Tamandua tetradactyla: one gene and its partner. The main gene of each other region encodes a partner of the protein of the gene in region 2 in a complex. Links are inferred from orthologs where the notes say so. Each region holds a gene or a part of one and is shown on either strand. Other genes may lie near its edges. The genes, in order: SHH and DISP1.

The links.
Region 1: the proteins of DISP1 (region 2) and SHH are in contact, whole or in part, in a cryo-EM structure (PDB 7E2I), measured with the Homo sapiens proteins. The link is inferred for Tamandua tetradactyla from reciprocal best matches to the Homo sapiens genes DISP1 and SHH. Residues at the interface, in NP_001356523.1 of Homo sapiens: Lys242, Thr244, Gly245, Tyr246, Lys247, Ala248, Glu260, His265, Arg299, Phe336, Gly337, Asp338, Leu339, Cys340, Gln341, Arg342, Thr343, Glu459, Arg899, His904, Asp906; in NP_000184.1 of Homo sapiens: Pro49, Asn50, Val51, Thr55, Leu56, Gly57, Ala58, Arg68, Glu71, Phe73, Lys74, Leu76, Thr77, Pro78, Tyr80, Pro82, Arg96, Leu97, Gln100, Lys186.

The regions. Positions count from the first base shown.
Region 1 is NC_135327.1:201,345,477-201,361,200, forward strand, and holds the start of SHH (sonic hedgehog protein), read right to left. Parts: upstream 6,391-15,724; 5' UTR 5,933-6,390; coding exon 5,624-5,932; intron 2,379-5,623; exon of another isoform or gene 1,845-2,378; intron 1-1,844.
Region 2 is NC_135328.1:138,680,993-138,697,183, forward strand, and holds the start of DISP1 (protein dispatched homolog 1), read right to left. Parts: upstream 7,285-16,191; 5' UTR 7,179-7,284; coding exon 7,130-7,178; intron 1-7,129. UniProt on the Homo sapiens protein: Functions in hedgehog (Hh) signaling. Regulates the release and extracellular accumulation of cholesterol-modified hedgehog proteins and is hence required for effective production of the Hh signal. Synergizes with SCUBE2 to cause an increase in SHH secretion.

The DNA of each region.
Region 1 (15,724 bases), on a different chromosome or scaffold from region 2:
GCGCAGTCGGCAGGGCCAGGTGGTCCCACAGGGGCAAGAGGTGGGTGGGGAAGAGGGGAGATCAGGGCATGGAATGGGGCCCAACCAGCTCAGACTAGAAGGCACTGGGCAGGGTCCTCTTGGGATTGAGCCTTTCTGCAGATTCTGAAATAGCGAATGCTCATATTGTGGTCTGAGATGCAGATGAAGTTTCTTTGAAAAAAAAGAAAACTACCTGTTTTCAGACAATGATCCCAGAATCCATAGTGCACCCCCCTCCCGGATTGCCCTCTGCTTTGCCAGTTCCCTTTCTGTGGTCACAGTTCTCCACACCTGCGCAAGGCTCCACCCTTCTCCTTGGGCCAAATCTCTCACTAGGACCCTTGGTCAGAGGTTCATGAGGAGGCCAGGGAGGCCCAGGGTGCAACTTTGCAGAAATAAAGAAAAATCCACTGCACACTTCTAAAAGAATTAAAAGCCTTTCGTTATCTCTGGACCCTCCCTCTTACCCCTGTACCTATCTGAGGTGAAAATTAAGCCAAAGGTAAGAGAGGGAGGTGGGAAGCTGATAGCAAAGCTTAAGGGGTGGGAGAGAGCCAGAGCAAAAAGCAACCAGGTGAGTTATAATTTTCAATATGGGCCGGGGCTGGGATGACAAACATTCTTTATCTGGACAACCACATTCTTTTTCTCTGTGGAACTCTTTTCTGCCTGGGTTTTCTGTGGTCTGATTGTGTTTCTTGTTTTCTTTAACCTGTTCCCTTCCTCCCCTCTTGTTTTCTTGGCCCCACTGTAGAATGGTGTCCTGCAAGTTTGAAGAGCAAACTTAAGAGGTGAAGGGGGGGCGGTGAGTGTGTGGATCAAGCCGGGACTTTGTGTGTGAAAGGGGTTGGGGGATGGGAAGCCAGGGAGAAAAATGTCCTCACCAGAAAGACCAAGGCACAGAGAGGCCCGAAGGCCTTGGGAAGCCTTCCTCTCAGAGTGGCCATTCTGATCCCCTTTCCTGCCCCCACCCCAAGGAAGGTGCTTGTAGGAGTAAAGAAACATTGGATAGCCTCGATAGAAACTAAGGTAAAATGGAACTTGAGGTTGTGATATCCCCTCCGCCCCAATTCTCCAGTAATATGGATCAAAAAGTCTGACTGACTCCAGAGTACCTGTGTGTGGTTACTAAATTCACTATCTGGGGATTTCTGTTGCTGTTAGTGGGATGGGGGCTTTAAAAAAGAGGAAATAGTGACAAAATGAGGGAGGTATCCTTTTGAGAGGCAGACAGAAGCAGAGGCAAGAGTGAACAATTTAAGTTGATTTCTGCAAAGGGTAGGTCTCTAATCTCCTCCAGGACAGGTAGGATGCTGGGGTTTTCTAAAACAACTCTTCCCAACAGGAGTACCAGGATAGAAAAATAGCCTCTATTAAGGACCTTAATAATAGCGTATGGGAACTCTTGCTAAGGGGTAGGGGAAAGAGAAATCTTGTTAGAAGAACTGCTGCCCACTTTTTAAGGGGACAGGTCAGATTGCTCAACAGGAAAAGTTCTGTGTATTTGGCAGCAATAAAAAACCCAGTAATATAGTTGTAGAGTTAAATATATAACAAACGGGTGGGGGTAGAGGGTTGGGGGTGGTCCTGGTAACAGGTCAGCTCTTGCAAGTTTCTGGGCCTGCTAGCTCTTTTCTTCCTTAAAAAAAAAAAGAGTTTGAGTGAGGTCATCTTGAGGATTGAACGCATTTTACATGAAAATCAATCAGTAAACCAGGGTCAGTTTAGAGCTGGGATGTGAAGCCAGGGTACGCGCAGGCGCACACTCACCAACAGGCACACAAACACACACCCCATCCGGAGCCTTCCCCCCTCAGCTCCCTTCTCTGGGGGAAGGTGAAGAATTAAGCAGCTTCCCAGAGTGCAGCTGGGGAGGGGGAGGGCAGGATGGGGAGGACTCAATCCCACCTCCCCAGGCACCTAGAACTGCGCCACTTGGGCCACGCAAGGAGCCGCAGGCCGGGTCAGGCCTGGTGAGTGGAAGTGGCAGCGCTGGGGACCAGCCGAGGCCGGAGTTTGCACCCAGTCCCCTCTCCTCCCCGCCCCGGCCGGCTCCGCGGAATTCTTCCCGGCCCAAGGGCCAGGCGCGGCCTCCGCCGGCGGCTGAAGGACGGCCCTCCGCCCTGGCTGAGCTGGATTGTCGCAGGCAAAAGCCGTGAAGCCCTAGCCAGTTATTAATTCATTGGGTCGTGTGCCACGAATCAAGCCCGATTCTGTGCAGTCACCGTGAAGCCCAGCAGGGCCGCCCAGGCTCAGGCTTTGTGTCCACAGAGGCAAAGTTGTTCAGCACGCCTCAGCTCCCGGCCACACTTCCTAATCTCCACACAAACGGATCGCGCCGAGGAAACACTTAGCAGGTACCTGTCATTGCAAACAGCTGGTGGGCTTCCTCCCCCACCCTGTGCCGGGGTTGGTGGCCAGGAATCCGAATTTCAAAAAGAGCCCCCCAGTCCCCCAACACCCTCCTCCCCACACTCACGGGAAAAACCCTCCCCAGACCCACACCTTGAACGCCTTCCCCAGCTGGCTGCAAAGCAGGCAGGAAATTTATTTAACGTGGCCTTTCAGGCTAATCCCCCAACTTCAGCCTCCAGACTCGGTCCTCGCTGGCCTCCTCACCCCCTCTCAGCGCCCCCTTGCCATCGGCACCCTCCAAGTGCACCCCGTGGGCCTGCGCCTGGGAGAGTGTGTCTGTCTGCTTTCCCTCTTTTCCGAGTTAATATTAACCAGGAGCTCATGCGTTTAAGAACCGCTCTGAAAGTTCCACTGGGGAAGATCTTGCCATGGTTGACGGACTTGGGCAGCGGTCACATTAGAGGGACACAGAGACACACCTAGAGACCCGGGGAGAGACTAGCTAGAGAAGCAGAAACGCAAGGCATACACCTGAGAGCAGAATCTAGATGTTTACTTAAAAATGAGGAGCCCAGCGGGTGAGCAAGTTCTCTGAGGAGCCCCTAAACCCTCTCTGGGCCTCGGAAGCATTTCCCTGCACCCACTTCAACTCCCACGGTCCCTGCCCCCACGTGACCCAGGTCCTCGGCCTTTCTCCTCGCATCCCTATCTCCACCTCCGCCTCCACTTTTAACTCTGAATCAGAATACGGGAATGTTACAGGAGGGATAAACCAAGGGGCACATTCCGGGCTGCCCTCCCCCCCCAACAGCCACCCAGGTTTTTAGGGTACCTTTGAGGGGTCAGTGTTGCAATCCTGGCCTGGCTCTCCCTACCCCACCCCGCTTTGGCTGCCCCTCCCCCCTCCTTTTGTGTTGGGAACGGGAATAGCCACTGCTGAAGAAAAAAGTATTTGTTTTCGTTTCGTTCGTCTGAGGGAAGTTGACAGAAGGTCAGAAGTTCAAATGCTGCCAGCTAATGCGGCGGCGAGAGTGGCAAGGCGTGGGGCAGGCCCGGCCCTGGCTTCCCCGGGAAGGCAGACGGGGCGGGGGGCTGGAGCCGGGGGACCAGAGGGAGAGAGACCGTGAGGGGAGTCTCGTGGCGCGGAAGGGGCCGGAGAGACCCGGGCGGCGCGGGAGCTCGGCGCAGCGACTGCGCGAGGAGCAGCCCCAGAGAGCCGCAGCCCGCGGAGCCTGCGCTGCGCTCGGTGCTCGGCCCTTTAACCGCCGTCACCACACCCCTGCCTCCTCCCCGCGCCCGCCGCGCCCCTCCCCCTGCGCCGGGCTTAATTACGATGATTAGAGCACTATTATTATTATCGCTACAGTCGTGGTTATGTAGCTAATTCCTGCCTGTGCGCGTGGAGGGGCAGGGAAGGGACCGTGGCGGCGGCCCGAGCCCCAGCTTGGCCGCACAAACTGAAACCCTAGCCGTTGCGATCGATAAAAGAGGAGTAAGTGGAGCTGAAAATGCGTCTGACTTGGTGCACAGCTCCGCGGGCTTGCAGTTTCCAGAAGGGAGGCGAAGACCCAGGGCTCGGAGCAAGGGCCGCGGGGCTGCGCTCCGGGTGCGGGCCGTGGGTGGGGTGGGGGACCCGTCTCTCCGCGCGACAGCCTCCCACAGACAAGGGCAGACGCTGACCCCGCTCCGACTCCGAAACCTCCAGTGTCTCCGCCCCCGCTGCTTTCTCCCGCGTCTCCTCCCTCCTCCCGGGTACTGAGGGACCCGGGGAAGGCTCCAGCCGGGGAGCGAGGCTGACCAGGGGATAGGTGCTGCGGGCGATCCGGAGAACTCACTCCAGCTCGCTGCACGCATCCTGCACACCGTGGCCTGTGCAGAGTTAATTGTAGCTCCAGCTTCTATCTGGCACAAGCGCGCGCGTCCATACTCTGGGTCCAGATTTAAGGTGGTCGGAAGCAGATGGGAGAGACCGAAGGATAAGGATCCTCTCCTCCACTTCCACTCATCCCACATCTGCTAGCTGGAGCTAGCAACCCTGGCTGTCCCCTTTCCTTATTCAGCTTCACTAACAAGCCCAGGAATCGGTTGGGAAGAGGAGCGGCCCCCAGGTATTTAATCTATTTCTCCTCCTCCTTTCCCTTGCACTTGTGCCCCACCAGCGCCGCTCAGTTAGCCGCTGTGCATGTCTAGCCCTAAAGGTAGGACTTGAATATTTTAATAGGGCAATAAAAATGATGTTGACCTATATTTGCGATGAAACCCATTTCTAGCTGCAGTCATATATGCACGGAGTTTCAGAAAGTCTAGAATAGGGTAGGTTTGCAGTCCAGATGGTTCAAAGGAGGTGGGGATGTACGTTTTGCTTTGGCTCTCTTTTCCAGCCCCCTTCCCACTGTTATTTATTTGCTCATAATTCCTATGCAAGCTGATTAAAAACTAGAGTGATGCAATGCCAATAAGTTCTAAGTCCCTCCCCTAAGGTACCGCGGGCTTGGGAGAATGAAAGAGCATCCTTAAAGAAATATCAATATATTCACACTCGGATGGGCACAATTGCAAACGACAGAATCGCAATGCAAGCTCTGTGATTCAGTCATGGACCAGGCAGAGCTGCTTCCCCCCACCCCAAGCCATTGCCTTTTGTCAGAACCGCCTCCTGGCTTTAGGAATTGAGGATTCCTTGGTGGGGGGCAGTGGGGTGGGGGCAGTGGGGTGGGGGCAGTCGTGGGAAGGAAAATCACAGAGGAGAGGGGAAAGTCTAAGCTTTGAGATTTAATGCTCAAAGCACATTTGTAACAGCGACATGGGGGAGGGGGGCATCACTTTTTGTTTATGGGGGGATTCCCGCCCCCTCCCTCCATTCCCACCCCCTCCCCTTGGTAAAGTGGCAGACTTGGAAAAGGCAGAAATCCCGAAAGTGAAGATTTCTCCAAGTTACCAGCCAGAACAGGGCACCAGGGGGAAGGCCAATCCCAATAAGACAGAAATCAAAGTAGGGCCATAAATGCAATCACATCTCCTACCATCCTCACTCCCATCCACACCCTAAACTTCTCCAGCTGGACACATTACCTCCATTCCTCCAGGAAGAGGAAGCGGGTGGTAGGTGGGTAGGTGGGCGGGGAAGGAGAGGGTGAAATCGCCTTGAAATCTGCTTAAAAAGCAAAGAGACTAAGTCTGGAACTGCTTCGTTACACGTAAACCCCTTTAAAGAAACACATTCCACGCCCCAGAGCTGGGTTTCTACCTGAGTCATCAGCCGGTCCGCTCCGGTGTTTTCTTCATCCTTAAATATGATGTCAGGATTGTAATTGGGGGTGAGTTCCTTAAATCGCTCGGAGTTTCTCGAGATCTTCCCTTCGTATCTTCCACTGGCCCCAAGGGTCTTTTCGGCCACATTGGGAATAAACTGTTTGTAGGCTAAAGGGGTCAGCTTTTTGGGGTGCCGCCTCTTCCCAAATCCCCTGCCGGGTCCGCACGCCAGCCCTGAGTACATCAGGAGCGAGGAGGCGAGGACCATCAGGAGACATCTCGCCAGCAGCAGCATCTTGTCCATGGAACCCAATTACTTCAAAGCTTTCCCCGTGTGTCTCTGTGTGAGCGTGTGTGCACGCGTGTGTGTGCGTGTTCGCTCTTCTCTTGCGCTCTCCCTTTCTCGCTCCGGCTCGCTCTCTCCCTTGCTCTCTCCCTTGCTCTCTTTCTCTTCCTATATAACCTTGCCCGCCGCTGCTGCGTGGGACTCTCCACCGATCCCCAGCCAGACAGGTGCTGGAATGGCAGGCTGCCGGTCGCTGATAACGGAACACATCGGAGTTGGGTCGCGAGACAGCAATCAAAAGACAAAAAGAGTCTGATTTTAAATGGTAGCAAGCCTAGAGACGCTTGTGAGAGAGGCTGCCTTTAGTACTATATTATAGCTGGCAGGGGCGTATCTGATTGGCCAAGGCAGCACAAGCTTGTCTTCTGATGTTTAACCCTCAAAAAGGCTACATTTTTTTTTTCTGTTGCTGCTGCTGCTTTATTTTCACCTGAAGGCTTCGAGTAAAAAAAAAAAAAAAAGAAAAATCTTTACTAAGACAAAGGTGGGTGGGAGGGAGGAGGCATATTTCTTGGGATAACATCAATTAAACCCTGCTTTGTGTGTATCTATGTGTTTCCCCCCTTTACTTCTTGGGAATGGTAGATGCTTCGGTTAAAACCAACATAAGTTTATAAAGGACAGTCTAGACCCCCCTCCCAAAGCTTTGATCATCAAACAAATATTCTCTGAAAGGTTTGAGGGGCAAAGCTGCCTAACTCTTATTTAATTTTTTTTCAGAGGCTTTACCATGCAGGCCAGGTCTCCCTACATTTTAAAGGAAGAGAAGTCTGAGTCTCCTCTTGAGTATTTAGCATCCTCCAAAGGAGGGCAATTACGAGTGACCACAACTTAAAGTACTGCTATTTGAGGTGCTTTAACTGCCTTAGAAAAACTTTAAAATATGGTTACCTTATTTTTTTTTAAATGAATGCATTGCTTTTAAAAACTCTGAAAATGGGATAAGAGTGGATTCAGAGGCAGGTAAAGAGCTTGGACAGTCAGGTTTCATGGGCAAAGTGGGTACCCCCAGCTCACTGAAGGGAACCTCTGCTTGTGTGTGTGTGTGTGTGTGTGTGTGTGTGTGTGTGTGTGTGGTGGGCGGAGGCTCATTGTGCCTGGAGGGCAGCAGAGAGTGGGCAAGGCTTTGCAAACACCACCCCCACAGATCGATCAGAGCAAAGTGCAGGGCCAAGGGATGAGTTTAATGCTAAATTAAGGCTCCTTGACACAGTGTGCAGTGCGGGCTTTACATGGAACTCTCCAAGCTACATCTGAGGAATAAGAGCTGGCCAGGTCATGGGCTGCAGCCAAAAGGGCAGCAGGGGACTAGAGGAGGTAATGTTGTGGTCAAATAGGGGCATCCTAGAAGACAGCATAACATCCAGAGGATAGCAATATCTAAGTCTCAGATCATGCACATCTTTAAGAAAAACACACGCACACACACAAAACAAAACAAAAACCCATCCTCATTAAACCAGAAAAATAAAATATGAAACTCTCCCTTTTTGCATAACATGTCCTCCTCCTTTTAGCCCCCTTCATTTCACTCATATGCAATATTCCCTCTGGAATGGGGCAAGGGAGGGGGGTTATTCATGTGGAATAGAAATACTGACCCTGATTGTTGCCCTGTGTAGCTAAATGTTCTCCCTTGACCTCAAACCTTCGGAGTGGAGCGAGAAGAGTACAAGTCTGAAGGTTCAACCCTCAAAACAATGGAGAGGTTCCAGCAGTTCATGCAATTTTCCTTTGACCATAAACATTTTTTGGGGTGAGTGTGTAAGGGGGATCTTAAGACACATCTAATTTCATTGTCACAGAGATTGAGCATTATCAAGACTCAGACAGTTAATGCCCCTCTCCCAGGGTTTACACAATTCCCTCCACCCCATCGCTATCCTTTTTCTATTCTATTCTATGATTTTTGAAGAATCAAAGTATTGATTCTTCAGGAAGAACGCTGACCTCTGGGCAAGGTGGGAAAGCAATGCCTAATTTATCAAGGAAGACTGAGAAGAAAGAAGAGTTTTCCAATTAGTTGAAGATGACAGAATTCGGCTGATAAATCCCGGGTTTAACTATTTGTCCAGGGTGAGTGTGTGTCTGTGTGCGAGTCTTAATTGTGTATGTTGTGTGCTCCAGGTAAAAACAGATACCAAAAATGATATTATGCTCTATACCAGAGGGGTCGGTTTGTTTGATGTGGTTACCTCGTGTAACACGTGTTGATATAATATCACTAAAAAGCGCCGAGGCTTAAGAAGTGATCTGGACCGTGTGGGAGACTTGAAAACCTTTTGATCACCCTCCCCCTCATTGGCATCTCCTGCTGTCCCAGTCCCTTCCCTTTTCCTGCTCTTTTTCAACTCTCGCGCCCTCACTTAAAAACCTAATAAATGCAAAAAGGCGGTAGCACCCGGGTTGCGATCCTGCGCCCACCGCGCAGAGGGCGTGCGGGCCCCAGGCCGGGGAGACTCTTCTGGCTCGCCGGCCGCGAGTCCACAGAGCGGCCAGCAGGGCTACTGCAGCGCAGACACGCTGGGGAGGCGCCCGGCCAATGCCAGCAATAAACGCACGTGGAAAAACCTTAAAGCTCCAACAGGCAGGGTGTGGGGGCCTTGTGTTTTCACCTCGGGCTGAGGAAAGTTCGGGGTGTGGGGTGGAGGTGAGGGTCACAGTGGGCAGCAATTTGACTTCGGATGCTCCGCGGAGCTCTCCGTTTCAGGAGAGAGCAGAGAGTGACTCCAGAGGCAAGGTCTCCTCCCTCTTAGGGGATGCGAATCGGCACTGCGCTGGGGCTACCCTGGAAGTTTCCCAAGCTGGTCAGGCCTCCCCTCCCCTGCCCTCCCCGGGAGGGACGACACCGACACCGAGGCCACAGCCCTCTTCTCCACCTCTCGGTTAGCCCTGGAAAACTCCGGAGGGCCGGCCTCCCCGGGGAGTTGGCCAGATCCTCATGACTGAAATGATGATGGAGAAATCACCATAAAATCCTCCACTGAGGCCTTATTTCAGAGGGTTGCCGCCTGTCGTGAATTGGGGGAAAATATGGGCGAAAATCAATAGCCGTTTATATTTATTGCCGTAGAAACTCAGGATTCTGTACTGCAAGGACTCCCAGCCGAGTTACCCGAGTTACCCGGGGAAACTGCGGTCTCCGCGCCACCCTCCCCCCTACCACTTCCCCTTTCCTTTCATCTCACCCACTTCCCATTTCCCAGACACCAGACACTCACTCTGTCTTCCACCTCCAGACACCAGATGGCTCCCTCTCTTTGCCTTTCCCCCTCCAGACAATTCGGGCCCCTCCCTATGCCGGTCAGAGGTTCCAAATCCTCCTGGTCTGTGCGCGACACGGCCAGACCTCCCGCACAACCCTCGGGATCCATTTCTGATTTCCAGGGCTCTCCCCTTCTTTCTGGGGGTCGTTCATATCCATCCAAACTTCTCTCCATCTATCTACTCATCCATCCATCTCTCTATGCATCTACTCACCCATCCCTCCCTATTGAGGACTGAGGGCTGCCTCTGTCTTCTGCCCCCAGCCCCCCAGAAGGCGCCCTTCTTCTGAACTCAACCTTTTTCTCCCTTCCGACCCCTGCCGCTAGATGGCCTCCTCACTCTGCCTTCGGTTTCTGGAATGTAGCGCTCTCTCTGGCTTGGGAGTGTTTGGTAAATCAGTGCGGAGCCAGGTTGGGAGGCCCTAGGAAGTGGGGTGGGGGTGGGGGTGGGGGTGGGTGTCTAGCCTCGTTAGTTCATCCTTCCTTGATCCTTGTAGCCAGTATCTGCGACGGTCTACCCCCTCCTCTGCCTCCCTCCATCATAGATTTGTACCCTCCCAGCAGGTAGATGAGAGCTCTGAGGTCCCTAAATCCCTGTCTATCACTTTTCTCCTGCCCTCTTATTTCCAGTCTCTGGGTTCTGGTTCTAATCCTACATTTCCTGTTCCCCACGTGCCCTCCCTTCCTTGATAGCTTTTCCTAATAATAATTCTACCCGATCTCTTCCTATCCTATCATCCAATTTCAGTATCTTTCCAGTTTTGTTCCAATTTTGGCAAATCGAATTTCTGTTGGTATTTCTTGCTCCGTTTCTCCTTCATTTGCTAGCCAGGGACCTCCTCTGTACTTTGGAGGGATGTGCTCTTTAGCACTGTTCTCCTAATCCCAGGGCATGTCCCTGATCAGTCTACTGGGGGGAAAGGATGGATGAGCCCCTGCACTGGGTGGCTTGTGAGCTCAGAGGTGGCTCAGAGGCCCAGGACCAGCCTCTGCTCTTCAGTGGTGGTAACCGAGAAGCAGGTGAAGAGAAGCGGTGGCTCTTCTCCCTTTTCTAGATAACTATACAGCAAGGGCATGGAGCTGGGTTCCCCTCCATCTACTCCCTCTGCCATGACGTTCTCAGCAGCGGGTTCACATACCTCCATTCCCACTGCCATGGAGATCAGGCCAGAGGTGGCTGTGGCAGGAGCAGCTGGGGAAGCTGCAGTCAGGACAGACAAAACAGCTTGGCTGGCAGAGAGGAGCTGGACTTGGCTGATGCTCGATGTGTGGGACTTTGCTGGCGAACGTTACTGTCACTCTACAGTGCACTGCAGAGGTGGTCAAAAGGTGCTGCAATAAGGGACAGGAGACCCAAGGCACAACTCCTTCCCCGACTCAGTAGCACTGTAAGCTCAGGCAAAACCTTTGATCTTTCTGGGCCTCATTTACACTCCCTGAAGTAAGAAGGTGGTGCAGTTGATATCCTGAAGTCTCTTTTTTATCTTTGTGTTTTATGGTTCCAATCTTTATTCCTGCCAGTTTTGTTCACCAAATACTTGTTGGGCACCCATCAGGCACTAGAAGCTGGGGCCTCCTAGTGAAGAGGCACAGTTCCAGGCAAGTGTAACTTTCAGTTTGTTTTCTTCCCATATGACACGGAACCTCCTGGGTTGGCATACTAATGGTTCCTTCCCCAGAACTTTCGTATTCAGCATCTCGTTTGCTCCACAGATTGGGGACCAGTAGAGCAGGTATTGATATCTGGGTTTTACGTGCTAGGAAAATTGAAATGCAGTTTTTTGCTGACACTTGAAAGCTCACACTGCCAGCTAGAACAAATAAAGCTATATCTTATAAAAGTAGATATACTAGGTCAGAAAATATGAACATTCCACCTGAATTATGGTGCTTTATGAATTTGTGTTGAGTTTCTCTCTTCAGACTATTGTTCTGCCTCTATTTCACATAATCTTCAATTTAAGTGATGAGTATTTTTTTATTCCTAAATAATGTCTTAAGTATGTATAGCTACTTATTGTTTCCAAGAGGTTTCATATCCATCTATCCATAGGAACCTTAGTGACAACATTTGCAAGTTGGACAGGGAAGCAGGAAGTGGGCAGGTAGCCTTGTAATCCATTTACAGATCAAAAACTCACATAAATAAGTCAATGATGGAACTGGATCCCAAATCTAGTTCTTTTGATCCTAAATCTTGCATGCTTTCCCCAATACCACAGCCACCTAGAAATTCGACTGTGGGACTGCCATTCCTTAAATCTTTGAAACTAGTGAAGCTGCAGGTGCCCTGGGAATGTAATACATGAAACCCATAGTTCTAAATCCTGGCTGCACATTAGAATTGCCTGGAAGCATAAAAACAGCGGCGCCAGCAACAATTAACAGTGCCCAATGTCATCATCAAATCAGAATTTCTGTTTTGCTGCTTTCCCTGTTGGGAATCCCCCAAGCACATTATGGGGCTGGGCATGATAGGCTCAGTTAGGTTAGATTACAGATCCACCAGTGGATTCCCAGCCTCAGCACCCTCACCTGTCCTATTAGGATGCCTGTTTATCTCTGGATCCCTTCTGCCCCCTGGCCATTCCTGGCACAAAGCCTGACATGGCTTCACACCTTCAAGGTTGAGAGGGTTGGAATGTGTGCATGAGTTTCTGGAGAGCAGGTATTGGTAGGGGAGAATTGGGTGAGGTGAGTGTGTGTGTGTGTGTGTCCAGGAGAGTGCCAAGTACTTGAAGGGCTGCAGTGACTCAAGAGGAGTGGGTTAGAGAATGGGTTGGCCACAACGAATGACTTCTCACCAGAGCCACATGGGGCTGGGTCTTGGAGCAGGAATTAGGTTTTGAGATGCCTCTGCAAATCTTCTCTGGTCAGGAGGCTGTTCTGAGACTTGAGAGAAGAGAGCATCCTAGCTCACCATATTCCTCCATGGCCCCTCTCCAGGGATGAAGCTATGAAGGCCAATTTTTTTTTTTTACCCAGCTTCTTGCTTTTGCCTACTGCTGAAAGAACCTCCTTCCTGAGCTTTGCTCCTATGGCTCATTCTGCTACTCTTAAAGGGGGGTGGTGGTGGCTGCGACCCTTCTGGCAGCCAGCAGAACCCTTACCTCATCTGGGTAACTTCTATCCAAACATTTTCTTAAAAGGAAAAAAAAGAATGCAATGCTGGCACACAGAAAAAACAAAGGCCATTTCTTTGCAGGAGCAAAATTAACTGGGAGATTAATCAAGCAGAAGCTGGCAGTTTATGCCATAAGTTCTACTGAAAGAATTAGAGTGATCAAGAATGCTCTTATGTGTCTCCAACAATTTGTGGTATCCTTTTCCATTCCTCTTCTATTCCACCTCCACTCTGTCCCTTTACTCCCTGAACTTGTCACAATTCTGCTTGAGAGCAGCTGCACCCATTATTGTCTTGAATCTTCAAGTCAGAACACAGAGTCTCAAGCCCTTTGTGGCTCTATTCTCTAGAAAGACTTGAATTTCAGTGTAGGGTCAGTGAATATTTGCAGATGTTCCCTTACATGGTACTTTGGCAAAGGAGGGGTTATAATCTTTGTATGGAGTAAAGGGATTCATGAAGTTCTAGGCCCAGCTCTCTCCCTCCCAGCCACATGCTCAAGGGCAAGTTATTCAACCATGCAAAACTTCCATTTCTATACTTGTGAAATAGAAAGGAAATAAATGATACCAAAAGTTCATCCAGCTCTTAAATTCTGTAATTCCACAATCTTAATCTCAGAAGAATCAAGGGACGCTAGAGCTCTCATCAACTGTCTCTTTTTATAGTTGGAAAAACTGAGAATTAGACTTTGTCCGTCTGCCTACCCTACTGTGTATATAAGAATGGACTCCGAGCAGCATCCCTCTCCTTACCCATTAGATATTGGGTCCATCTGAACTCTTCCCACTCTGGGCCGATAATCAGCCTCCCTTCCAGGAGAGGTAGTTTCCCAAGAGCTTTTTTGGCTCTGTCAGTCACTCACTACAGCACCAGCCGAGCGTGTAGTATGGGGAGATGTTGGGGAAGAGGCATGTAGGTGACTCGCTCAGCCAACTCCTGTGCATAGCTGGGCCAGACTCACCCAAGGAGACAGGGAAAGCAGCAATGCTGGGAATTTGGGGGGGGGGCATTAAAACCCTCTCCCCTATCTTCTCCATCCCCTGTCCCCATCCTGCTAAAGAATATTTCCTTTCTTTGCCTTCTTCGAAGCTTTCTTGAAAGGGGTTAAAGCATACTTTTTTCTTAACACAGAAAATTAAGAGTCAGAAACTACGGAGGTGTCATTGGCCGAGGGCTGTTTTGATAGGAGAGACAGACAGAAATAGGTTTAGGGGAGGCTAGGGAAGGGCAGTGGGGAGAGAGAATGTATGGGGAAAAGGAGGCATTGGAAGTGGGAGGTGTGTCAAAGGTGGGAAAAGAGCATAGAAAGGGAAACTGAGAGTGATGAACACACAGTTATAACATTAGCAAATCCTTTAGGACCTTAATTACTAAGCAGCCTTCTTTGAATTGTTTGCATTGCCCTAAAACTTAAGAAAACTTGGGTGGGTTCTCCATGGCTTGTCCCTTCTTTTTCTTTGGCTGGGGTATTTGCACAGAGAAGGACCCATTTTTTACACAGAGGAATTTCCTGACTGGGAGACAGAAGCCTGCATTCCAGAGGGAGGCTGTATGTGGCACTTCTCAAGATCACACACAAAACCTCAAGGAGTAGCTAAGTCAATGCAGACTATTTGAAGCTCAGTGCCTTGATGGGCTCTGGCTTGGCAGAGCAGCAGAAAAAATGTTGCGGAATGCTCAGAGGGACAAAGGAGAGAAAGCTTCATCAGGGGAAGGAGGTATTATCACTCCCTCCTGGCTTTTGGCTCATGATCACCTACAGAATACAGGGGGTGGGCCCTTGATTTCTGGGGATTGCATTCTTTATTTGCTTAGCATCTCACCCAAAGAGCGGAATTCATCAAGAAGTTAAATCTTCCTTATAAATCTGGGCAATCATAACATTTACTTATTCTGTGTTTATTGTGTATTTTAATTGAACCTGTATTAAATTTAATTAATCATTGCAAAAAGCCCAATTGATTAGGTACTGTTGTACAGGTAAAGAGACTGAGGCACGGGTAATCTGGCTGTAGAATCTGCACTCTGAATTTCTGAGCTGGTAGCAGTATTTATCAAGGGTCTAGTCTGTGCTCAGTACTGTGTTGCTGGGGTATGTCTTTGTGTAAGGGGAGGGGTAGATAAGTAGTAAAAGGGCCCAATCATCTAGGAATACAAAGTCAAAGGCCAAGACCCATATGTGTAGGAAAATTAGATAACGCATAAAAGACAATGTAATAATGAGGGCCGAGACTTGTGGACTATGCAATAAGTGGTCCAGGGATTTTGAGAAGAGTAAGATAAAATTAGGAATTCCTGAGAACATTTTTCTCTTCTTCCTCTGTACTTGTGACTCCTAGTAAAGTTTACAAGGCTTGACCCCTTTGGATAACAATGATAGTTAGCTCTATTTAGCATATCATAATTTTTTTTTCTATTTTTTTGTCATGGACAGACTCTGGGAATGGAACCCAGGTATCCGGCATGGCAGGCGAGAGTTCTGCCACTGAGCCACTGTTGCACTGCCCTATTTAGCATATAATAATTTATGCAGAACTTTGATAACTATTATCTCACTTATTCTAGATGGGAATGACTGTTGCCTGAGGTAGGCAGGATACGTGCTTTTCTTTCCATTTTACGAATGAGGAGTCAGAGGCTCAGAACTGAGACCACCCTGTCTACCTCACTAGGCCACTGTGAGATAATGGATAGAAAATGCCCAGATCATGTAAAGTGATATATGAATATGCAGTCTTATTATTTTACCACAAATGCTCTTTTGAGTCCATCAATTCTACCGAGTACCTGCGGAAGACTAACAGGAAAGCATCCAAGAAAGAATTTCACAATTTTCCTGAAGAGCTGTTATTAGCATATATGAAGCTGTAAAAGACTTTTGCCCAAGATCATTTAGCCATGAGTGGTCACCAGTGGAACTGGAGCTTGAATCTGGTCTCCAAGCTCCAAATATCATGCTCCTGAGCCTTGACAAGCCAGGACTGTCAAGCCAGGAGATGTCCAACAGGCCAGATGTTTCCAAGCTAACCAAGGTGTCTGCCACCAATACCAGACATAAACTTGGGTTTAAGGGTTAGACAGTTTCAAGGACATGCATTTCCATGATTCCCTGACAACTGATTTTTAAGATCACTGTAGGAAGAAACAAGGCAGAACATGAAAGAAACCTTTAAATGAGAAAGTCTTTTTCTATCAGTTGGGCTTACAGTGAGATTTCTGTTTTACGGTTTGGGGCACCTTCACACCTGCTGCTTTGGGAAAGGGCAAAGATCTTCAGACACAGGGCTTTTGAAAGCTGCCTCACTCATGGATCCTTTATTATTGCTACACAGCATTCTTTCCATAATATGATGGTGT
Region 2 (16,191 bases):
TACGTTTGCAATTTTATTCAATTACTATGAAATAGTCATTAGTGGGCCAGTTTGACACTGTTGTGTACCCCAGAAAAGTCATGTTCTTTAATCCTCATTCAATATTGCTGGGTGGGATCTTTTTTATTGTTTCCATGGAGATGTGACCCACCCAGTTGTGGGTGGTAATTTTTGCTTAGGTGGTTTCCATGAAGACGTGTCTCCACCCATTTAAGGTGGGGTCACTTACCATAGCCCTTTAAGAGGGAACCACTTTGGAAAAAGCTTCAACGCCAACAGAGCCCATGGAGACAGCAACCTTTGGAAATGCTGACAGAAAATGCCCCTGGGTACGCAGTATGAAGCAGCAGGGGGAGAAAGCAGATGTCGCCATGTGCCTTCTCAGCTGAGAGATGTCCAGAAGCCAATGACCCAAGCAGACGCCAACCATGTGCCTTATCAGCTAACAGAGGTGTTCTAGATGGCATCAGCCTTTCCTGAATGAAGGTAACTTCTTGTTAGTGCCTTAATTTGGACATGTTCATGGCCATAGAAATGCAAACTTGCAACTTAATAAATTCCCTTTTCAAAAGCCATTCTGTTTCTGGTATATTGCATTCTGGCAGCTTTAACAAACTAAAACACATAGGTTTAAAATAGAAGGGGTTAACCCTGATAGTTATTATCTTATGGCCTGTCCCCACACCCCAGGATAATGCTCTAGAAATTGGTCTTTTTAGATCTACAATGTTCTCATAGCTACAAGGTTCCCATCAATCAACATGCCCTCAACCTCTCAGCACTGTAAATACTCATACAAAAATAAACATCAGTACCTGTTCTTCAAGTCACAGCTCAACCCATCCCCAAACTTCTCCATGAAGTCATATCAACATTGACTTCAAAAGACTCTACTGGTCTTTCTCATAAGAAGTGCACAGGGTTTGTCCTAGATACAGGCAATAAAAGGATACACTACCTACAGAGAATTTAAAAACAATAATAAAATGAACTAAATGCCTGCTCTTTATACACTAGCCATTCTACAGAACTTCTGGGCTAAGATACATCTTCCCACCATGGCAGATAACTCCCACTAGCACCCCTTAGTATGGTACTGGTCAACCTCCCTAGCCCTGCCCAAATCTTTTATGCAATGGTTCTTCTTTTTCTTAGGCTCTCAAGCCAAAGAAAACAAATAACAACAGGCTAAGAGGAATCAGTGTATTTTCTGCGGTACTTAAAAATTGTGAGGTATATCATATCATTTTATTAGAAATATAAAATTAATAATGCTTCATTCTAAGCAAAATTAGGTAGAGTCCATATAGAAAAGAGTCTAGTAATAAAATCCAAACAATTTTGATTTAGTATTAAAACTACTTATAACAATAATCTCAACAAGTGGGTCATAGTCATGCCTAGAGGCTGGAAAATTTGCCAAGAATTATGGGATAAGTAGCAGAATAGATTAGTCCCCACTAACAGGACTGCAGTTTTATTTGGGATGATTAGACACTTTGAACTCCAATGTAAGGGACTATATAGGAGTAAAGGTGGTTCTCTAGTGGGTCTATAAGTAATATTACCATATTGTAATTACCAAGATTGAAAGGGGTTCTATAGACCTACATGTCACACTGATTAACACTAGAAATATGAACTAGTTCTTGCAAGAATTACTTCAAAGATATGATTCTTGTACAAACAGTGTTTAAGTCCAGGGTACAGGGGGAAACTGCTATTGCATGCTATGAGCTATGTTCAAAAGGAAACCATCAGCACTACCACAGCAACAAGAGAGGTAAATAACAGGGAGGAGGAACAAGAGTTAAGAGGAGGTTTAGATTTCCTATTTGGTGAGGGTATGTTTATTGGTTTTCTTTCTTTTGGGAACAATGAAATTATTTACAATTGAGAATGTTGATGGACTGTTGACTTTGAGCCCTCTACATGATGCCCAATGAATGCAGGTGGCTGAAGGATGCATGGACGGAGAAGTAGATTGGCCAACAATGGTGTATACTTATGAACCAAGGTTGTGCTGCTACAAAAAGGAACATCGTCATGAGGTATGCAACGATGCGAATAAACATGTGGGACATCTGGTGAGACAAAGGAAGCCAGAAACAAATGAACAAGAATGGTTTGGTTACCTTCAGAAAATGGTTATAAGAAAATAGGGGCCTAGATTGTAAGCTTTTAGAGCAGACACTTTAAGTCTAGAGTGGCAATTGTTATTTTTGCATTTTGAGAGGCTGTTTTATATATTTAACCTGATATTTACAGACAAGAATGAAGCTGAACAGGTTAGGTTTAAAGTACCTCTGAACACAGCGGTAAAGGAAGATAGTGCCTACATTTTAGAATCATACATACTCTTTGAGACCAATGCAAGAAAGGTTTATGTGGTCTGCAACTGAAATTTGCTGTAGTGCATAATCTAACTCAACCTATCTGTATAGTTTATTTGAATAGCTGAAACACAGGAAGCCCAGAATAAGAAAGAGGTCACTTAATCCTGTATAGATTATTGTAATGCCTGGAAACATCCTAGAGTATATTAACCAGATAATCAAAAAGTATTGGCAAAGTCCCCTGAGGGATGGGAGAAAGAATATAAAACTATTAAACTTTACCATCAGGGAATCCCCTGATACTGTGTCAAACCAGGGACACCCAAATCAATAGGCCATGCCCTGATCATGAGGCTTACTGTTGCAAAGCTTATGTAGGTAGCAGAGAAGCTTAGACTACCTGTAGACATGCCTAAGAGTTTCTTCTGGAGGACCTCTGTTGTTGTTTAGATGTGGCCTCAGTCTCTCTAAGCCCAATTCTGCAAGTGAAATCACTCCTCTCCCCCCCTATGTGGGACATGACATCCAGGGGTAAAAGTCTCCCTGGCAATGTGGGAGAGGACTCCTGGGGAGGAATCTAGACATGGCACCATGGGAACAACAATTCCATCCTGACCAAAAGAGGGAAAAGAAGTGTAACTAATAAAGTATCAGCGGCAGAGAGAGTTCAAATACGAGTCAAGAGTCTACTCTGGAGGTTGCTCTTACGCAAGCTTCAGTTAGACCTTGCTACCTATCATAACCTGCCAACACTCAACCAGGAACATTCCAGCCAATCCTAAAGAACACCGAGAGCAACATATAAGATTCCACAAGAGTTCCAGGCAGTAGAGTAACTTTCCAGAAACCTACAACCTCCAGATGAGTCCCTGGTCCAGATAAGCTCTGAAACCCAGCCCAGCCTCTCCAGAAAATCAGATAATTTCATCTCCCTACCCCATATTAGTGACAGACCCTTCCAAAATGAAAAATTTAGAATGGCTATAGCCCAAACAACCCTAAAGAGAGGGATGGAAAGATCAAAGGTGATGGTGGAGTTATACAGAGAACATACAATTTAACAAATGAATATGAATGCTGAATCATTAAATTGTTATCTCTTTTAGTCTCCAGTATTTTAGAGCAGCTAGAAGTAAATACCTAAAATTGTGGAAATGTAACCCATGTCAAAGTCTGAAATATGTTCTACAACTAATTGTGGTGCTGTGCTTTGAAATTTATAGCTTTTTTGTATATATGTTATTTTTCACAAAAAAAGAAGGAAAAAAAATTTAAGCCCTCTAGCCTCCTGTATTCTGGAGCAGCTAGAAGGAAAAATCTGAGAGGATTGTATGTAGCCCATGACAAACTCTGAGATCTTTCTTATAACTACTTGTTGAAGAGCACTTTGAAAACTATTGCTTTTTTATTTCTTTATTTTGTATATATGTTATACTATACAATTAAAAAAAGTTTTAAAAAAATTATACCTAGGAGTCAGCCTAGAGAACCTCTTTTGTTGCTCAGATGTAGCCTATCTCTAAGCCAACTCAGCAGGTGAACTCACTGCCCTAGTGAGTTCCAGGGGTGTAAACTTCTCTGGCAACATGGGACAGAAATCCTAGGATAACTGAGACTTAGCATCAAGGGACTGAGAAAACATTCTTGACCAAAAGGGGGAAAAGAGACAAAATAAAGTGTCAGTGGCTGAGAGATTTCAAACAAAGTCAAGAAGTGATCCTGGAGGTTTTTCTTACACATTACATAGACATCCCCTTCTTAGTTTATGGTGTATTAGAGTAGCTAGAGGGAAGTACCTAAAACTGTAGCACAGTGTTCCAGTAGCCATGTTTCTTGAAGATGATTGTATAATGATATAGCTTTTACAATGTGACTGTGTGATTGTGAAAACCTTGCGTGTGATGCTCCTTTTATCTACAGTATGGACAGATGATTTAAAAATATAGATAATAAATAAACAAATAATAGAGGTAACAAAGGTTAAAATAAATTGAGTAGATTGAAATACTAGTGGCCAATGAATGGGAGGGAGGGGTAAGGGGCATGGCATGTATGACTCTTTTCCTTTTGCTTTTTTATTTCTTTTGCTGGAGAGATGCAAATGTTCAAAAAAATGATCACAGTGATGAATACACAACTATGTGATGATATTGTTAGCCACTGATAAAAACCACATATAGAATGTTTGTATGTCAAGAATGTTTGTATGTTTGTTGTTTACAATAAAAATATTTTTTAAAAAATTAAGGTATATTCTACTTAAAATTATGCCTAAAGAATCACCCCAGAGAACCTCTTTTGTTGCTCAGATGTGGCCTCTCTCTAAGCCAACTCAGCATGTGAACTCACTGCCCTTCCCCTACATGGAACATGATTTCCAGTGGTGTAAATCTCCCTGGCAACGTGGGACAGAACTCCTGGGATGAGCCAGGACCCAGCATCGTGGGAATGAGAAAGCCTTCTGAACCAAAAGGGGAAAGAGAGAAACAATACAAAATAAAGTTTCAGCAGCTGAGAGATTTCAAACACAGTCGAGAAGTTAACCTGGAGGCTATTCTTATGCATTATATAGATATCCCTTTTTAGTTTATGGTGTATTAGAGTGGCTGTAGGGGAGCACCTGAACCTATTGAGCTGTGTTCCAGTAGCATTGATTCTTGAAGATGACTGATTAAAGATATAACTTTTACGATGTGACTGCGTGATTGTGAAGACCTTGTGTCTGATGCTCCTTTTATCCAGGGTATGGACAGATAAGTAAAAAAATATGGATAATAAATAAATAATAGTGGGGGTAAAGGTTAAAATAAATTGGGTAGATGGAAATACTAGTGGTCAATGAGAGGGAGGGGTAAGGAGCATAGGATGTATGAGTTTTTTCTTTTTTCTTTTTATTTCTTTTTCTGGAGTGATGCAAATGTTCTAAAAATGATCGTGGTGATGAATACACAACTATATGATAATATTGTGAGCCATTGTGCACCATATACAGACTGTAGGTGTATGAAGATTTGTCAACAAAAATATTTTTTAAAAAAAGAATGGTAATTCAAAGTTATTATGCCAGTTTCTACACTGGATATACAAACTTGAAGAGATTAATAAACAGAGCAGAATTTTTTTAAGTAATCACTAAGAGTATGACAAAAAAATTAAGAAATGCATAGAAATCAACATAGTTAATTCAATAACTTCAGAGATCAGTGTAACAATTTCTGATTTGAAAAATTATTCAGTATGTTCACATACATGCTTAAGCACTGTTTCTGTTAAGGCACTACTCTATTTTTGCAAATATCTGCTGTGCCTCTAAATAGAAGAAAATTATAACTCCCTATCTACTAAGGCATAGATCTTCAAGACCATCACAAGTTTATAAGCTAATAAGATGCTAAGACCAATAAAGACCAAACGTTCTAGTTTACTTGAATGAGTTCAAGGAAGACCACCAAATCAGATCTAAGCTACCTGTACCAAAACAGTTATTTTAAAAAATAAAAATTCTAACAGTTGAAATATCAAGCATGTGAAACATGCAAAACAATCATCAAATATCACCATTCACCAGTGAAATGGTTTAACTAGCTACCTTGCACAGATCGCAGCAAAATTCCAATTTCACTTACTAGATACATAAAAGCTAAGAATCTTCATAAATGCATTGAAGCAAGACACTAAATTATGCAAATTAGGTAATGTATACTAAACGCTACCATAAAACATAAATACTATGAAAACAATAACTGAAATTAATAATTACCTTCTGCTAATGATAAAAACAAGACCCCCCCAATATTACTACACACAAGTCATTAAGGAAAACTAAATGTGCTAATATGTATATAACAACAAATATTGAGTTTTAACTATTTTTTAAAGCATAGATATAGATAATAGATATTCCTTGTAGCGAAATAAAAAGGAATAAATTCTTAGGCATTGCTAGTAATTTGCTGCACCCTAATCTAAACTTGCCCTTTTTTATTAAAGTGAAAAAAACAAAACCCAATAGGATAACTTTTAGAAAAGAAGTGTTAGAAAGTTTGACAGAAAAACAACAGACAATGAACTGGAAATGCAAATCTCGACAGCACAGGTTTTCATATGATTATCACCGTGGTTATATAAGGGTTTATCAAGTGATAAAGAAAATAAGAAAACCTACACTTTGCAGAGAAGAGACCAAAGGGAAATCTTTGGTTGGTCTGTTTGCAAGAAGAGAATTTTAAAGTACTATCAGTTTGACAAACAACAGCAGTATAAGCTGGGACTGGGTAAAGATGAGTTAAAGTTTTCCCTGGGATAGTAAAATATTTTCCCGAAATCCACACAAGAGGAAAAAAAACACACACTAAAAAAAAAAAACAGCATTAATTTCAAGTGAAGCAGTACAAGTTCAGCTTCCAGCAGGTAGTTAGCTAGTCATATTTCTAATACATTTGGTAAGATGCCCTCTCATCTTCGACCCTGAGAGAAGGACGGATCCCTTCCTCTCAATCCTTTCGCTGGAATCCAATCTTTGCCATTTTGTGCAACCCTCAGACTCGCGATCAGCCAGCACCCGGGACACTCCCCCACGCGGGACAGCTTCCCTCCAAGATGCACTTCTGCTCAGAATCATTCGCAACCCCCGGTCTCCGGTGTCCCTCTTCTCAGCCTTTCACAGCTGCCCTCAGGGTTCTTCTCCCCTTCCCAGGCCCCCGGTCCTGGCTCCAGTGCGGGCTCCCTCCGTCAGCCCCAGGGTCCCGGCTCTCTCTCCGACCCTAGGAGAGTCCCAACTCTCCCATACCTACCCGATCTCCTCGTCCCAAGGTAACGGCCGGTGGCAGAGCCAAAAGACATTCGTTGAAGAGACAAGAGCGTGGAACACTCCAGCTCCGAATTCACCTCCAGTCCCGGCTCGCGGATCCTGGCCCGGAGCCCGGCTTCCGCCTTGAGCCGGAAGTCGTTCTCGGGCGGGACCGGATGTCCCACCCCTGCCCCCTCTCCTTGGACCTGCTGGCTGGAGGCTGTGGGGTCCCGGTGAGAACCTGCAGAGACTGAGAGAGTGGCGGGTTTGCCGCTGCCTGCGGGGGCCTGGTCTGAGGGACTTGGGTCGGAGGGTCAGGATCCCAAAAGTCGCCTTTCTCTCTTGCTCCTTCCGGTTCCAGTGGATCAGTTAACTAGTCTGCCAATGTCTGACCAAGCACCTGCTCTGCTCACTTTTTTTGAGAAACAGGTTGACGACAACACTGACTCCTGTCCTCATCATCTAGTTGAAAGATGACTTCGCCCCAAGAGGCAGTACTTCTTCCTTCACTCATTAATTAAATGTTTTTATTACCTTCTGTACATCACTTACTCAACAACCAGGCACTACAGTAGCAGCTGGGGAAACAACAGTAAACAGACTAGTGCCTCTGCTTTCATAGAACTACATTCAGGGCAATGAACTAGGCATAAAATAAATTAAACAGCAGCTTCATTGGAAGCTTCATCCAATAAAGGGCACAGATGATGAGCAAACAAGTGCAATAAAATGACCAAATTTTAGAGGAACTATGGCAGTGCTATGGGTCAAAATTAGCAAATGGGGGAGGTAAGGATCTGGGTAGAAAAGGCTTTTACAGATAATAACTTTTTGGTTGAGACTGAACTAAATGATGAACAATAGTTAGGGGGCAGACAAGATGGAGAAGGCCATGCACAGCAAGATGCCAGGGATTCTGAACTTGGCTTGTTCAGGGAGCTGGAGGGTATGGTACAGTTAATTTAGCAAGACTTGAGCTTATGGAGGCAAGAACAAGCACAAGAAGAAGCAAGGCCAGATCGTGAAGACTATCGTAGTTACACTAAATAATGTGTAGACTGTACCCAACAGGAAATCAGTAGGGCCCTCTAAGTCCACAAAATAGTGTCATTGGGTTGACCAGGGTGATTGGCCTGGTAATAAAAAAAAATAAAAGAAGAAAAAAACATGAGAGATCATGGGTAGAGCATTTTACCCTCAAGGATGCTTTCTTGAAGTGCCATATCCACAGGTAGAGATAATGGACAACTACCATGATCCCATACAGGCAGGACCACAAGGCTCATACCTCTTAGGTTGCTCCATTGGACAAAGCACCTCAACCAACCGAGATACAGGCTGAAAGCACAAGGAAAAGACAGAGGAAGAAGAAACTTCATTACCAGCTACAGCAATGAATACCGTCACATCTGCTGCTATATTTTTGCTTGTTGTTGATGTTTAATAAATATCCTCTCATACAGCAAGTCCCACCATCTCCTTTTTAAAAAGAAATAGTATAATATAAAATTTTCCTTCTTTTCCCTTTTCTTTTTGTCAGCAATAGAATATGTTACAGTATATGGAGATAGGACTATGGTGGAGAAAAAGGAGGAATGGATATCATGTAGAGAAGCAGGACTCAGAGGGCACAACATCATCTCCAGATGGGGTAAAACGACACAACTTTGTGTTTTCTACCATTGGGGAAGTCAGCAGTTTATCTGTGGTGATACATGAAACTATTGAATCATATTGTGGAGAGGAATGTCTTTGAAAGAAGAAGAGAGAGTTGTATGTGTATGCACTTGTGCTGAGCAGTCAAAAACTAAAATAGGATAGGCATTCTTTGGGATGTTTCTCTAGCGCACCACCATTCCCTCTATGTAGGAATGGCCCCAATACACAGATACAATCATTTCTAAGACTACATAAACACAAATTACCAAACTGTAGGGTGACTACCATCCTAGTTTTAAAAGGACTGAGGAGGATTCCAGGATGCTGGACTTCCAGTGCTTAAATGGGATAGTCCTAGGAAAACGGGACCATGTTAACAAATTAATCTTCCTTCCAGGAATTTTAAGTATGGAATAGGAAAACAGAGAGAAGCTTGCCATTAAAGCTGAATCATACAAATGGCAGTGCTCTAAAAAGATCTATAAACACTCTTTGCCAAGGACTCTGAGCCTGCTCTGTTTCCTTTGATTACATGATATATGCCTATATACTTTCAACATCCTATTTTGCTTAACTGCAACCAAACTAGTTTTTTTTTATTTTTTTATTAATCAAAAAAAAGAAAAGAAATTAACACAACATTTAGAAATCATTCCATTCTACAAATGCACTCAGTAATTCTTAGTATCATCACATAGATGTATGATCATCATTTCTTAGTACATTTGCATCGATTTAGGAAAAGAACTAGCAAAACAGCAGAAAAAGATATAGAATGTTAATATAGAGAAGAGAATTAAAATAATAATACTAATAATATATATATATATAAAGGAAAAAGAAAAAAAAACAAAAACAAAAGATACAAACACACAAACAAACAAACAAAAAACCATATTTCAGGTGCAGCTTCATTCAGTGTTCCAACCTAGTTACATTACACTTAGGTATTATTGTGCTGTCCATTTTTGAGTTTTTGTATCTAGTCCTGTTGCACAGTCTGTATCCCTTCAGCTCCAATTACCCATTATCTTACCCTGTTTCTAACTCCTGCTGGTCTCTGTTACCAATGATATATTCCAAGCTGATTCTCGAATGTCGGTTCACATCAGTGGGACCTTACAGTATTTGTCCTTTAGTTTTGGGCTAGACTCACTCAGCATAATGTTCTCTAGGTCCATCCATGTTATTACATGCTTCATAAGTTTAGTCTGTCTTAAAGCTGCATAATATTCCATTGTAGGTATATGTCACAGTTTGTTTAGCCACTCGTCTGTTGATGAACATTTTGGCTGTTTCCATCTCTTTGCAATTGTAGATAATGCTGCTATAAACACTGGTGTGCAAATGTCTGTCTGTGTCTTTGCCCTTAAGTCCCTTGAGTAGATACCTAGCAGTGGTATTGCTGGGTCGTAATCCATTCTGCCATTCTATGTCTTTTGATTGGGAAATTCAGTCCATTAACTTTTAGTATTATTACTGTTTGGATAATATTTTCCTCTACCATTTTGGCTTTTGTATTATATATATCATATCTGATTTTCCTTCTTTCTACACTTTACTCCATACCTCTCTCTTCTGTCTTTTCGTATCTGACTCTAGTGTTCCCTTTAGTATTTCTTGCAGAGCTGGCTCTTGGTCACAAATTCTCTCAGTGACTTTTTGTCTATAAATGTTTTAATTTCTCCTTCATTTTTGAAGGACAATTTTGCTGGATATAGGAGTCTTGGTTGGCAGTTTTTCTCTTTTAGTAATTTAAATATATCATCCCACTGTCTTCTAGCTTCCATGGTTTCTGCTGAGAAATCTACACATAGTCTTATTGGGTTTCCCTTGTATGTGACAGATTTTTTTCTCTTGCTGCTTTCAAGATCCTCTCTTTCTCTTTGACCTCTGACATTCTAACTAGTAAGTGTCTTGGAGAACGCCTATTTGGGTCTATTCTCTTTGGGGTGCGCTGCACTTCTTGGATCTGCAAATTTAGGTCTTTCATAAGAGTTGGGAAATTTTCAGTGAAAATTTCTTCCATTAGTTTTTCTCCTCCTTTTCCCTTCTCTTCTCCTTCTGGGACACCCACAACACGTATATTTGTGCGCTTCATATTGTCATTCAGTTCCCTGATCCCCTGCTCAAGTTTTTCCATTCTTTTCCCTATAGTTTCTGTTTCTTTTTGGAATTCAGATGTTCCATCCTCCAGTTCACTAATTGTAGCTTCTGTCTCTTTAGATCTACCATTGTAGGTATCCATTGTTTTTTCCATTTTTTCTTCTTTGTCCTTCACTCCCATAAGTTCTGTGATTTGTTTTTTCAGATTTTCTATTTCTTCTTTTTGTTCAGCCCATGTCTTCTTCATGTCCTCCCTCAATTTATTGATTTGGTTTTTGAAGAGTTTTTCCATTTCTGTTCGTATATTCAGCATTAGTTGTCTCAGCTCCTGTATCTCATTTGAACTATTGGTTTGTTCCTTTGACTGGGCCATATCTTCAATTTTCCGAGCGTCATCCATTATTTTCTGTTGGTGTCTGGGCATTTGATCAGATTTCCCTGGGTGTGGGACCCAGCTGGTTGAAAGCTTTTTCTGTGAAATCTCTGGGCTCTGTTTTTCTTTTCCTGCCCAGTAGGTGGCGCTCGTGGCGCTCGTCTGTCTGCACGGCAGTCGCCAGGGAAACCGCGCGTGGAGGCGGGGGTCGCTGGCCGCCGCGGCTTGGGAGAGTGCCGGTCCTAATTGCCCAGCTGGCCTGAAACGCCAAGCGTGACTGGAGGGCCCCGCTATCCAATGTTCCCAGTCAGACCGGGGAGCCACGTGCGTGGAGGGGACCCCAGTCGCCAGCCGCCCCGGCCGGGAAAACGCGCGCCTCTCGGGTATCTCACCGCAGCAGATTCTCCCTGCCCGTTCAGCTGTTCCAGAATGGGGTACGCTGTCTTTTTGGTCTCTGTCGTGACTCCGGGAGCTGTTTCGTATTGTTTCTGTTTCTTTAGTTGCTTTTCTGGAGGAGGAACTAAGACCCGCGCATCTTACTAAGCCGCCATCTTCTCCGGAAGTCCCCCAAACTAGTTTTAAGGAGAATGCACATATCACATTCTTGTTTCAGGTAATGTGCCCCCAGGACCTCTAGTAAATGGGCACTGAGCCAAATGATCCATATTTCTATTCATTAGTGCAACAAACTGGACCAGTTGTGGATATTTAACCCAAATAGAGCTAGGAGAGTTTCTCATGCATGGATTTTAGAGTTTGTGCACTGAGCTCCAACTTTGTCCCTCCTCTTGGTTTTTGTATTGATTTGGTAAGCTACTGGAATGCAATATACCAGAAATGGGTTGTGTGTTAGATTCAGTTGTCAACTTGGCCAGGTGAGCATACCTAGTCTTGTTGCTGCGGACATAAGCCAATGGTACCTGAACCTCATCTGTTGCTAATTACATCTGCAGTCGGCTAGGAGGCGTGTCTGCTGCAATGAGTGACGTTTGACTTAATTGGCTGGTGCTTAAATGAGAGAGCGCAATGTAGTACAGCTAAGCGGCTCGGCATTCCTCATCTCAGTACTTGCAGCTCAGCCCAGGCCCTTGGAGATGCAGAAAGAAGTCACCCTGGGGAAAGTTGTTGGAACCCAGGGGCCTGGAAAGAAGACCAGCAGAGACCATCCTGTGCCTTCCACGTAAGAAAGAACCTCAGTGGAAAGTTAGCTGCCTTTCCTCTGAAGAACCAACAAAATAAATCCCCTTTTATTAAAAGCCAATCCGTCTCTGGTGTGTTGCATTCCAGCAGCTAGCAAACTGGAACAGGTTGGCTTTTTCAATGGAGATTTATTAGATTACGAATTTACAGTGCTAAGGCCATGAAAATGTCCAAATTAAGGCATCAAGAGGAAGATACCTTCTCTTTGAGGAAAGGCTGCTGGTAACCAGGGTTCCACTGTCACATGGAAAGTCGTATAACAATGTCTGCTGGTACTTCTCTCCTACTTCTGGTTTCAGTGGCTCTCCCAAATATCCCTGGGTGTTTCTTTTTTCTCCCTCCAAACTTCTCTGTCTTTATCCTCTCATAAAGGACTCCAGTAAAGGATTAAGACCCACCTTGAATGGGCTGAATCACATCTCAATTGAAATAGCCTAATCAAAAGTTCTCACCATAGGTCTGCCCCCACAAAAATGGATCAAAAGAGCATAGTCTTTCATGTGTTACATAACAGATTCAAACCAGCTCAGTCTTCTCTATATTTAGATAGAAATATTGTGTAAACAAAGAATTGAGTTAGACATGAGCAAGATATCTAAAGCTGGTGGAGAAAGAAGGGGATAAATAGCAGGAAGGAGGAGGAAGAAGGAGGAATAATAAGGAGGAGAGAAAGAAGAAATAGGAAGAGAAAAATTAATTATCTCATAGAGGTAATAATTTTAGTTCTCATCTTTCTGGGTTTTGAATCCCAGTCTCTTGTTACATCCAATTAAACTTCCTGTCCTTAAATTCTATGAAATTTTGTAAACTTCCAGTAAGTTTACCATTTTGCTTAATTTTTGTTTTGGTAGGTTTCTGTTCCTAGTATTCAAACACCAAGCCATCAATTTACCAAGACACAAGTGTGCCTATCCATCCCATAGCATCCATCTCTTCTCACAAGAGTTTGGAGCCAGTTTCTCCCACCAAGCCAATGGCGGGAAGAGGATTTACAAACATTCAGTGCTTCCTGCTCCTTTCACAAGAAATCTGACACAATTTCCAAGGGGTTTGACAGCTTTAGTGTTAAAATCACATGGGTAGGGAGAATCGTAGACTCATAAGATATTATGTCTGGAAACCATGTATCACAAATGTTTCATTTTATAGAGAAAGGAACTAAAATCCAGCTAGGCAAAGTGGTTTTCCCAGTCAAAAAGCTCAGTAGACCCAGAGACAGAACCAGTTTAAGATCTCCTCTTTCCCAGTCCACCGTTCTGCCTGCTTTCCCTGTCTTAGGGCCCTACTCTTATTGTGGATCAGGTAACTTCGGGCGCAGAGAGCAATACCCTAAAGAGGCTCCTGTAAGGTACTTAAAAGTGTAAGATTTGACCTACCTACATCTACCTCCTGGCCTTTGGAGTTGATCTGTATTTATATACTGGCATTGGGCTGACTGCAGCATCCTGAGAACTGTTCAGAAAACATTTATGAGACATGGTGAGTGACAGTGGTTAATAGGCATGTTACTCTGAAGTGAGAGAGAAAACTATAAGGAAAATTTTCCATACATTTTTTGATATTCACCAACTGGCTCAAACAGATGGGCTAGTTAACATAAGGTTGGTTGTTTATAAACTTGATTTACATGTTCTCCATTTTCTTTAGTACATATAAAAGTTTTTTCCCTTATCTTTATTTTTCACCATCAACGTCATCAGCAGTTATATCTAAAACTATATCTTCTTCCCTTTGAACATGTAGTAATTTGGAATCCACTATTCTAAACTTGGAGGCAACCATAACAGCACTTCTCTGCATTATTAACTATTTGGTGCAAAATTGCATTAATTACAGATTATGAATCCAGAGATAATTAAGTTCAGCCAGTGCTGTCCAATTAATAATTCCAAACTCTACTGCATGGTGCTTACGGCAAAGGATTTTCTATGTAGATTCCAATCTTCTGTGATCTAATGACATCACTTAGACTAAAGTGAAAGACGAATCTTTTAAAATTTAAGGTGGTGTTTTCCTTCCTGAAAAGGGAGCTGCCCCAGAAATATACCAATTCAATTGAAAAAAGTATATACGTGATTTTTCATATTTTGGTCTAATTCTGTTGATTCGTATTTCCCATAAAGATATGTTAACATATATTCATACCCCTTGAAGTTAAACACATTTATAAATAGAAATAAAATATGCCTTATTTAACTCTTTTCTCCTGTGAAATTCAAATTAAATATGATTTCCACATTATATACTAATGAGAGATTTCTGCTGCAAACCCATTTAAGACCAAAAAATGGAAATGCCATGCATAAAAGAGAGAAACACAACAAGGAAGCTTGCATAGTATTCATTAATTGAAGGTTTGGGTGAGCTTATACACAAGTTGATAATTTTAAAGTCCAATTCATGTCTGTCTTTCTGCAAAAGCAATGGGCATTCCACATATCTGCTTGGTTCTCAAACCTGGCTGACTGTTCTCCCCAGTATAATCACAACTAAGCAGAGATGCTCCTGCCAGAGAAAGCTTCACCTCCTAAATTCCAACTTTACCAGTTAAATGAGCCTTTCCTTTTCAATAAAAATCTCACTCTATGGTTTGGTAACTAAAATAGACATATAGGAAAGTAGTCTATTCTACTCCTAACTGGAAAATCTCACCACTAGGTAGGTAATAAAATTAATATTCAGCTCTGAATCTCATAAGCATACATCTTTCCTAAGAAGAAATTAGCTATGGCCTGAAAAGGTTAAAGCAAAACTTTCCTTGTAAAAACAATGGATTTATGTTTTATAGGAGGATGTGTTTTCTCTACAGAAGCTTCCAGATTGGTTATAAGTAGTCATTTCCTTTATTTTTAGCACTCTCTTTGTTTTAACATCCTCTTTAACACTATTAAAAACAAACCATAAAGTACAGGTTGGTTGTATTTGCCTTCAGTAGACAAGGCCAAACCATGGAGAGTTATTTCTGATTACTCCGTATTTTTGTCCTGTGAAAGCAAGTATCCAAATTGCAAATATTCACTGACTAGAAAAATGCCCTACTGTTCTAGTTTGCTAGCTGCTGGAACACAACACACCAGAGACAGATTGGCTTTTAATAAAAGGGGATTTATTTAGTTAACATATAGTTCTTCAGAGGAAAGGCAGCTAACTTTCAACTGAGGTTCTTTCTTACGTGGAAGGCACAGGGTGATCTCTGCTGGCCTTCTCTCCAGATCTCTGGGTTCCAACAACTTTCCCCGGGGTGATTTCTTTCTGCATCTCCAAGGCCTGGGCTGAGCTGCGAGTGCTGAGATGAGGTATGCCAAGCTGCTTGGGCTGTGCTACGTTGAGCTCTCTCATTTAAGCACCAGCCAATTAAATCAAACATCATTCATTGCAGCAAGCACACCTCATAGCCGACTACAGATGTAATGAGCAACAGATGAGGTTCACGTACCATTGGCTCAGGTCCACAGCAACAGAACTAGGCACCTTCACCTGGCCAAGTTGACACCTGAACCTAACTACCACACCTATACATAGGGTTGCCAGATAAAACAGAGGATGCCTAGTTAAATTTGAATCTCAGATAAACAATGAACAACATGCAATATTTGGGTGTACTTTTCCTTAAAAAGTATGAAATTCAAACTTAACTGGGAATCCTCTATTTTTATTTGCTAAATCTGGCAACCTATTGCACACAAGTAAAATTCCTTAAATATTTCTGAAGACAAGATTCTTTAAAT